Caenorhabditis elegans: one gene and its partner. The protein of the gene in region 1 interacts with the protein of each later gene in a pairwise test. Each region holds a gene or a part of one and is shown in the gene's direction. Other genes may lie near its edges. The genes, in order: pgl-1 and ife-1.

Region 1 (5,290 bases):
GATGTCGGGAGGCGGTGTTCGAATGGCAAAGAAAAAGAAAAGTTCCAGATGTACAGTATCTTGATATACTTGTCCAAACATTTACTGAATTCCTGAAAAGCCCATGTGATTCTTTTATACTTCTTCTTCAATTTTAAGCCTTTTCCTTCGTTTTTTTCTGCACGGTGAATTGTCCCATTTTATTAATTCAATATTGAACCTATTTTTAACACCCAGCCAACAGTGCAAGTAATGTAAAACTTATTTCAAATGAATATTCACTTCTCATTTGTCCGAATTCCAACACTGCTTCAATGAAATAAATTTATCTGAACTGGATTTGAATGTTTGGTCCATTTCAAAATAATTTATTACGCTACTTTTTTCTAAATCTACGAAACACCAGACTTACAGTGAAAGAAAAATAACTCAATCAAACAGATGAAACTATACGTGAAGAAGATAGATTGATATCACACAAGAGAAGACAAAAGCACGACAATCAATGAAATTATAAAAACAATGGCTAAAAATATAAAACAAGAGAAACATTGCACATGAGTGAAAACTTTTCGACTAGTCCTTATTCTTCTTCGTAATGCCCTGACTGAGACCGTAAGGGGAATCTCTGGAAATTCGTCCCTTCCTTTTCGATTGGTTTGCCATGATTGACATATTTGGATTGAGTGTGGTCGTTTTATCCAGATCGAAGTCTTGCTTCAAGTATTGTGAAGCAGCAAGCATTTGAATTTTGTGATGACCGCCACACACGATTCCAATAGATGCTTTCCTAATATCCTGATTCAGCGTATAGAACATAGGACTCAGCAGATAGCCTTCGGGTGTATAGTCTTTTGGAGCTTCTTAAAATAACAGTTAGAAATAGACTAAAGCTGTGAATGTAACCTACTTTCAGTGTACGAAACACGGAAACTCGCGTCGGACCCTTGAGGAAGCGGCTCCATTTTCTTGATACACCGGTGAAGTTTCTTGATTGTGCTTGCAAACATTTGTTTCGTGTTGTCGGTATCAACGAATTTCGCCTGTAACAGTTCTTGACTGCTTTCGTTCGTGTCGATTCCGCTGAAAACAATTGAAAACGAATAATTGAATAAGACCAGCAGCTTACTTATTTAGAGATACGAAAATCTCTCCTTCATCTCCATAAGCAAACCTGAACGCAAACACTTCATTAATGTCTTCCTCGTTTGGCTTCTTGTAGAACACGATTGCGAACTCTCGCAAATAGCCTTGTTGAATCGCATCTCTCAATCCGTCGAATGTTGAAGACACACGCTTTGCGGCAGGAACACTGCTCTGGAATGCGGTGACCAACAGTTTATCTGTATAAAAATATTTGTGATACATTGTAAAATAAGCCATACCTATTGTTCGAGTTTTGAAGCATTTTTCGTCCAAAATGCCACGGCGATCGAGAATGAAGGCCGAAGCACATTTTATGTAGCGAAGCGCAAACATTTCAGAATTTTTTTCAATCTCTAGATCAACGGGAAACGTGGCCTTCCACTGGCTGGCTATAGGAATTTCAGACTCGCGGTGCTCAACAATCTGCTCTTTCGTCGCCATCGCAAACCTACAATTACTGAAATATCATCGTGAAACAAATTAAAATGTTTAAAAAATAATATCTATAAAATCTATAACAAGTTAAACATATTATTTAATTATAAAACCCCGCATTGATTAAACATATTTTGATTTGAAAAAAAAAACTAGAAAATAGGTAAAATAAATCTGGAAATAGTTCAGAAACTTAGAAATTATTAAAGGCGCATGGAAGTTTCAGATCTACGGGTCTCGAAACGAACAACTCGACGCGAACGCGGAAGTTGCAATTTCGATCTCGTCCCAATTTTCTTTTCCGTTTTCTTACTTTTTTGGGTAAATTTTGCGTTTTTTTGAATTCTAATCTCGAAAAATTTTTTAAAAATTTAAATATTTATTTCAGTTTCATCCATTTCACATGGAGGCTAACAAGCGAGAAATTGTGGATTTCGGTGGGCTGAGATCCTACTTTTTCCCAAATTTGGCCCACTACATCACGAAGAATGACGAAGAACTGTTCAACAATACATCTCAGGTTGGACTATAATATTTAAAGACCGATTTTCTATTATTCAATTTCAGGCCAATAAGTTGGCTGCTTTCGTGTTGGGAGCTTCCAAAGACGCTCCTGGAGACGAAGACATTTTGGAGATGATCTTGCCGAACGACGCTAACGCTGCCGTTATTGCTGCTGGCATGGACGTTTGTCTTCTTCTCGGAGATAAATTTGTAAGTGTGAATTAAACTTATTGTAATCAATTATAACGTTTTAGCGTCCGAAATTTGATGCTGCTGCTGAGAAATTGTCAGGATTGGGACATGCTCATGATCTGGTTTCTGTCATCGATGACGACAAGAAGCTCGGAATGCTCGCCCGTAAGGCCAAGCTGAAGAAGACTGAAGACGCTAAGATTCTTCAAGCTCTTCTCAAAGTAATCGCAATCGATGATGCCGCCGAAAAGTTTGTTGAGCTCACGGAACTTGTCAGCCAACTGGATCTGGACTTTGATGTTTATGTCCTAACTAAAATCCTCGGACTTATCTCTGAGGAGACTAGCGACGAGGTCGACATTATCCGTGATAACGTCGTCAACGCATTTGATAGCTGCAAGCCGTTGTTGAAACAGTTGATGTAATTGTTGTCCTTTTCAAAATAATTCGATTTTTTTTTTCAATTTAGGTTGGATGGTCCGAAATCTGAACCTGCCGATCCATTCATTAGTCTCCTCATGGATCCACTCGAAGAGTCTGTTGGGAAAGTTGTGAACCATATCGCTCAACTTTTCGAGGAAGCGAGTAAAAATGAAGGAGACGAGTCACTTGTCTTGAGATCTCAACTCGGATATCAGCTCTTTTTCCTTATCGTTCGTTCACTTGCAGATGGAAAGCGCGAGGTTTCCAAGAAAATCCTCTCTGGGATTCCTACGAGTGTCAGAGCGGAAGTCTTTCCAGGATTGCAAAGAAGTGTCTACAAGAGTGCGGTGTTCCTCGGCAATCACATCATCCAAGTTCTTTTAGGATGTTAGTATTTTCGTCTTTGTTTACTTTTAAAATCTAAATATTTCAGCTAAGAAGTCTTTTGAGGATTGGGATGTTGTTGGAGTCGCGAAAGACTTGGAGAGCGCCTGGAAAAGACGAGCCATTGCGGAACTTATCAAGAAGTTCCAAGTCTCAATTCTAGAGCAATGCTTCGATAAGCCCGTTCCACTGGTGAGTTAATGATTCTATAAACATTACTTACATGACCGTTTTTCAGATTCCTCAGAGTCCACTAAACAATGATGCGGTGATCGATAATGTGAATAAAGCTCTACAGTTTGCACTGTGGCTTACAGAGTTTTACGGATCCGAGAATGAGACTGAAGCGCTGGGCGAGCTTCGTTTCTTGGATTCCACTTCAAAAAATCTTCTCGTCGATAGCTTCAAGAGTGAATATTCCTTTTTTTATCTCCTGTTAACTTTTTAATTTCAGAATTTGTTCAAGGAATCAACTCGAAGACTCATGTCACTCGAATTGTTGAATCACTGGAGAAGTGTTGTTTGTCCGATACACCAAGTGGCAGAAAGAGCAATGTGCAACCATCCACTTCCCAACAGCAGGATTCCGCCTACACGAAAGAGGAAATGACGACGGTTCACAACACATACAGCGTAAATACTAAAGCTCAAGTTCTCAACGGTCTCAGTGATACCAATTCTTCCGGGTTACTTGTCGATTCAAAGGATTCACTCAGTCTTCAGGAGATTTCTTGTGACGAAGTGGATTCTTCGACTTTGCTAAGCTCATCAAGAAACATTGGAGAAGGTGTTACTGTAAAAGCGGTCGATCCTGTCCCAGAAAAGGTTAACGATGCACAACAACAGCAAACAGTTAACGAGATCGAGATGGCTTCGGATGCCAATCAAGATACTTCTTCAAGTGCTTCGCCAGAAGTAGCGCCAAGTTTTTCCACCGATGGCTGGGATTCTCCAACGAAATCAGTAGCTCTGCCACCGGTATCGCGTTCATCGTTTCAGAATTATAAAAATATTTCTTTCAGGGCATGCAGCAGATAGATGAAGAGGAAACCACAGTTGCTGACAAAGATTCTACACCACAACCACAAGCTCGTGCTGAAACTGCATGGGGGTCAGGCGACGCTACTCCAATGCCTCTTCCTGCCCCGACTAATCAATACAAAGTCAGTGGATTTGGGGAAGCCAAAGTTGCAAAAGGATTCGGTCAATTTGCTCCCACCAGTTCAGCTTATGGAGGAGGAGGTGGTCGCGGAGGATATGGCGGTGGAGACCGTGGAGGCAGAGGTGGATACGGCGGAGATCGTGGAGGTAGAGGTGGATACGGCGGGGGAGACCGCGGAGGACGAGGTGGATACGGCGGAGATCGTGGACGTGGTGGTTACGGGGGTCGTGGTGGACGCGGAGGTTTCTAAACTCCAACTATTGAATGTTTAATTTGTTTTTTAAGTATACACTTCTTGTATACTTACACGTTTTACGCACATTATTTATTCTAACAATCTTGTTGTAAAATCCCTAAAACCTTGACTGTCATTTATTATTTATTCAACCTGTTTTTCCTTGTTCCCGGTAAATGTTTGAACTAGATTGTTGCAAGAAATTAACTCAATTAATTACACGTATATCTCTTTCTGCGGCTTGATGAGAAAAGTGATGTCTGAATCGACGGTGCCGAATGATTGGTGGATCATAAAATTAACAGGTGGCACTGCATGCATTCTTATACAATTTCAACTGATCTTATCATACATTTACGCATATTAGAGTTGTAAATCGTTATGAGACATCTGCATTCGAACATAACAAATACCGTATTTCTTCTATTAATATGGCTGCAATACTATTTTTCGATGGTCTTCCCGCTTGCAATACTAATAGGGAATGCAAGACTATTAGGGAGTGCAATACTAATTTTCAGAGCATTTTCTGACTTTGAGCTTACTAGTTTTTTCCTGAAAAAGCTCGAATCATATGTAAAAATTCAGAAAATTTGATTTTCATATAAGTTCAAAAACTTCGATCTCGTAGAAATGATGTGAAAACTGTTGCAAAATAGGCAAAAAAATGTTGAAATCCTAAAATTAGCGAGACGGGTTTGCAATACAAAAAAGTTAACGCAAGACTACTAGAGAGTGCAAGACTAATAGGGTGTGCAATACTAATTTTCGGAACGTCTCCGAGGGGCAATACTAATAGGGAGTGCAAGTCTAATAGGGAGGCCATATTA
Region 2 (3,577 bases), on another chromosome or scaffold:
ACTATTTGAATTTCTTTCGAGGTAAGAAATTTTTTCAAAGTGCTTAATAAATACATGTTTTGTTTCAGAAAGACGGATTTCTACAGTGGCGCTGGTGTCGATCAAGCCCGGACCCTTCTCCTCGAAAAATTCGATAAACACGGTGGAAAGGCTATGAAGGAAGCTGAAGAAGCCAAGAAACGGAAGGAAGAGCAGGAGAGGAAGCTTGCTGAACGAAGAGCTGCACAAAAAGCTAAGGAAGAGGAAGAGTTCCGAAATGCGAAAGTCGTGGAAGTCACTGATGAGGAAGCGGCCGCGTTTGAAAAGGAACAGGCTAAAAATTCTGTTGAAAATCTTGAAAAATTCGTCGATAACGAAGGAGAAACATCGAAAGACGCTGAAGTCGAAGATGAGGACAGTAAGCTCATGAAACCAAATAGTGGAAATGGTGCGGATCTTGCCAAATATCAATGGACTCAAACACTCCAAGAACTCGAGGTGAAGATTCCAATTGCTGCTGGATTTGCTATCAAATCTCGTGACGTTGTCGTCAAAATAGAGAAGACTTCAGTATCTGTCGGCCTGAAGAATCAAGCTCCGATTGTCGATGGAAAGTTGCCTCACGCCATTAAAGTAGAAAATTGCAACTGGGTAATCGAAAACGGGAAAGCGATTGTCCTAACTCTCGAGAAGATCAATGATATGGAATGGTGGAATCGATTCCTTGATTCCGATCCTCCAATCAATACTAAGGAAGTGAAGCCAGAGAACTCGAAATTGAGCGACTTGGATGGAGAGACACGTGCCATGGTCGAAAAGATGATGTATGATCAGAGGCAGAAGGAGATGGGTCTTCCAACGTCTGATGAGAAGAAAAAGCATGATATGCTGCAACAGTTCATGAAACAGCATCCTGAAATGGACTTCAGCAATGCTAAAATTGGATAATTCTGTGAATTTTGTGAGATTTGTTCCGAAAATATTATATTTATATTCGCATAAATGTACTCAGTTTGATATTAATTTTATTTCATCTTTAAACTTTTAATAATGTATTTCTCATTCCTTATATCTCTTTTAGATCCCTTAAAAATGCAGTGCTTCAACACAATTTTCAGACTCTTCACAGATATGGATGAGGACAATGAAATCGGACTTCCACAGAAAGGTATCAACCAAATTATCAAAGAAGTTGTTCCTGAAATGCGAATCGCCAACGAGTCGAGAGATATGATCAATGCTTGCTGCGTTGAGTTCGTGAAGCATATTGCGAGAGAAGCACAACGAATTGCGAGCCAGGATCAGAGAAAAACAATATATCACGAACATGTTCAGAAGGCACTGCAGAATTTAGGATTCACACCAGATTATCTCGAGGCCGCCGACAGTGTTCTCGATGCCTGCAAGGTTGAAGCCGAGAAGAAGCTGCGAAGGAAGAACTCTCGTCTTGAAAAATGTGGTATTCCAGAGGAAAAATTGTACGAAATGCAACAAGAATTAATTCAGAAGGTAATTTTTTGAGGTTTTCAAAAATAATTTTGTTTTTATAAAACAAACACTCATTTCCTCAATGTTAATATTTATTTTACAGGCACGCCAACAAGAAATTGAGCAGCAGCTTGCTCACCAACAAGCACAAGCCGCGGCGGTAGCAGCCGCAAACGCACAAATGTTTGGAGGACCATCAGAGGGCTCTTTGGCTCCAACCGACGATGACTACGACAACTAGATTGTTTTTCTTCGCTTTTTTTTTCTACGGGTTCTCATTTTATTTCTTCATTTGTGTATTTACCTTGATTCATCATCGATAATTTCTAAATCTCTTTTTAAAATTGTTGTACTATATTCCACCATTTCCTATTTTCCCCGTGAATTTTTTTACTGACCCGCTCCATATTTCAATGGCACGTCATTTAGGGCACGATTAGTTGGCGTTTTCCCCAGTTGTTCTCGGCTTCTCAGATCAGTCCTGTTTTTGCCTTGCCAGTTGTCGAGGTGCGAAAATTTTAAGCGCAAATGTCAGATTCTGAAATAGCATTTGAGAAGCTGAAAATCTCTGGGGAGAAAGAAGGTGAGCCATTCCCTTTTTCATTATCGTTTGAGTACTATAAATTATTCACAAAAAAACTGTTTCTCGCCGTTTTGCATCACTTTTTTGGTTCCACGTGCCCATTTTTATTTGCATTCATTTATTCTCTCTGTTTACTGATTTTACTAATCGAGTTCTTCCAGGTATGACTGAAACGGAGCAAACGACGGCACCCATTTATCCGCTGAAGCGTAACTGGACGTGGTGGTATTTGAACGATGAGCGCAACAAGTCTTGGGAGGATCGTCTGAAGAAGGTGTACACCTTCAACACCGTCTCGGAGTTCTGGGCTCTCTACGATGCTATCCGTCCACCAAGTGGCCTCAACGCGTTGTGCGATTACAACGTTTTCCGTGACGATATTCAGCCGATGTGGGAGGTTCCGGAAAACTCGAACGGAGGACGCTGGCTCATCGTCATTGACAAGGGAAAGACTCCCGAAATGGTCGATGCTATTTGGCTGGAGATTCTCATGGCTTTGGTCGGCGAGCAATTCGGAAAGGACATGGAGTCGATTTGTGGGTTGGTGTGCAACGTCAGAGGAAAAGGATCGAAGATCAGCGTCTGGACTAAGGATTGCAACGATGATGAAACCAACATGAGGATTGGGTATGCATGTCTATTTTTAATTCTATCTTGAATTTTGGAATTTCAGAGTTGTGCTGAAGGAGAAGCTGATGGCCGCATCCAAGGACCACTCAAAGCCACTGTTCGATGTGATCCGCTACGAAGATCATGAGAGCTGCCAGAAGAAGACCAGCTCGGTTGTGAAAGCCAAGCTTTCATTGCACTCGTCCGATGCTCCAGTCGCCGAGAAATCCGCCGTCTAAAGCAGACCATTTTGTATCTGCTCTACTTGTTTTTTAATTACACCCGTTGCTTGGCTAGTATTTCACTCGTTGTTTTGTGATTGGTTTAATAAAATTGATGAAAATTAATTGTATTATATTGCCTTGTGGTTTCCAGGCCCAATTTTGTATCTTATTGTAGTGTAGAATGTAGCCTTTAGGTCAGAGAACAAGTAGCGGGAATGATGATAAAAAAGACACCGCGAAAGTCGGCCATTCTGCTTCTTTTTCGTCTCTGCGTCTCTTCTCTACCTATCTTATCGGCCCAACAAACAACCGAAAAACTTTATTTTTGTTCAAAAGCCCCTCTCAAAATAATTATGCAGTTTTCTAAATGCCCTTTTTTTTAGGTTTTTTCACCTCTTCCTAATAATTTGTTACTACTTATAAGAACGTTTTTATTTACAGAACCACACAAATACACTGCAAAATGGCAGGAAAATGTGAGTGGGGGTCAAAGTCCATGGTCGTTGTACTAATAAGTGATCAGTGATGTTTATATTATGTCTGCAGGTGTGTTCATCGTCGGTGCCAAGCGTACAGCATTCGGAACTTTTGGTGGAAAGCTGAAAGGATTGAGTGCAACTGATTTGGGAGTCGTCGCTTCTCAAGCAGCGCTGAAGCACGCTAATGTTGGAGCAGATGCCGTCGATCATGTCAT

The links.
Region 2: the proteins of pgl-1 (region 1) and ife-1 interact in a two-hybrid assay, tested with the Caenorhabditis elegans proteins (3 studies listed by BioGRID).

What each region holds. Positions count from the first base shown.
Region 1 is NC_003282.8:6,973,802-6,979,091, reverse strand, and holds pgl-1 (Guanyl-specific ribonuclease pgl-1), read left to right. Parts: upstream 1-1,773; coding exon 1,774-1,881; intron 1,882-1,948; coding exon 1,949-2,080; intron 2,081-2,127; coding exon 2,128-2,274; intron 2,275-2,318; coding exon 2,319-2,677; intron 2,678-2,725; coding exon 2,726-3,066; intron 3,067-3,112; coding exon 3,113-3,255; intron 3,256-3,301; coding exon 3,302-3,473; intron 3,474-3,517; coding exon 3,518-4,041; intron 4,042-4,085; coding exon 4,086-4,475; downstream 4,476-5,290. Other genes in the region: prkl-1 (LIM zinc-binding domain-containing protein), read left to right, coding at 1-64; him-3 (HORMA domain-containing protein), read right to left, coding at 556-842, 890-1,062, 1,109-1,322, 1,365-1,566. UniProt on the Caenorhabditis elegans protein: Guanyl-specific endoribonuclease which cleaves the phosphodiester bond in single-stranded RNA between the 3'-guanylic residue and the 5'-OH residue of adjacent nucleotide, resulting in the formation of a corresponding 2',3'-cyclic phosphate intermediate.
Region 2 is NC_003281.10:13,341,613-13,345,189, forward strand, and holds ife-1 (eIF-4F 25 kDa subunit), read left to right. Parts: upstream 1-1,804; 5' UTR 1,805-1,995; coding exon 1,996-2,050; exon of another isoform or gene 2,051-2,100; intron 2,101-2,211; coding exon 2,212-2,677; intron 2,678-2,723; coding exon 2,724-2,898; 3' UTR 2,899-3,006; downstream 3,007-3,577. Other genes in the region: nud-1 (Nuclear migration protein nudC), read left to right, coding at 1-21, 69-927; dro-1 (Protein Dr1), read left to right, coding at 1,072-1,488, 1,571-1,708; acaa-2 (3-ketoacyl-CoA thiolase, mitochondrial), read left to right, coding at 3,347-3,359, 3,430-3,577. UniProt on the Caenorhabditis elegans protein: Recognizes and binds the 7-methylguanosine-containing mRNA cap during an early step in the initiation of protein synthesis and facilitates ribosome binding by inducing the unwinding of the mRNAs secondary structures.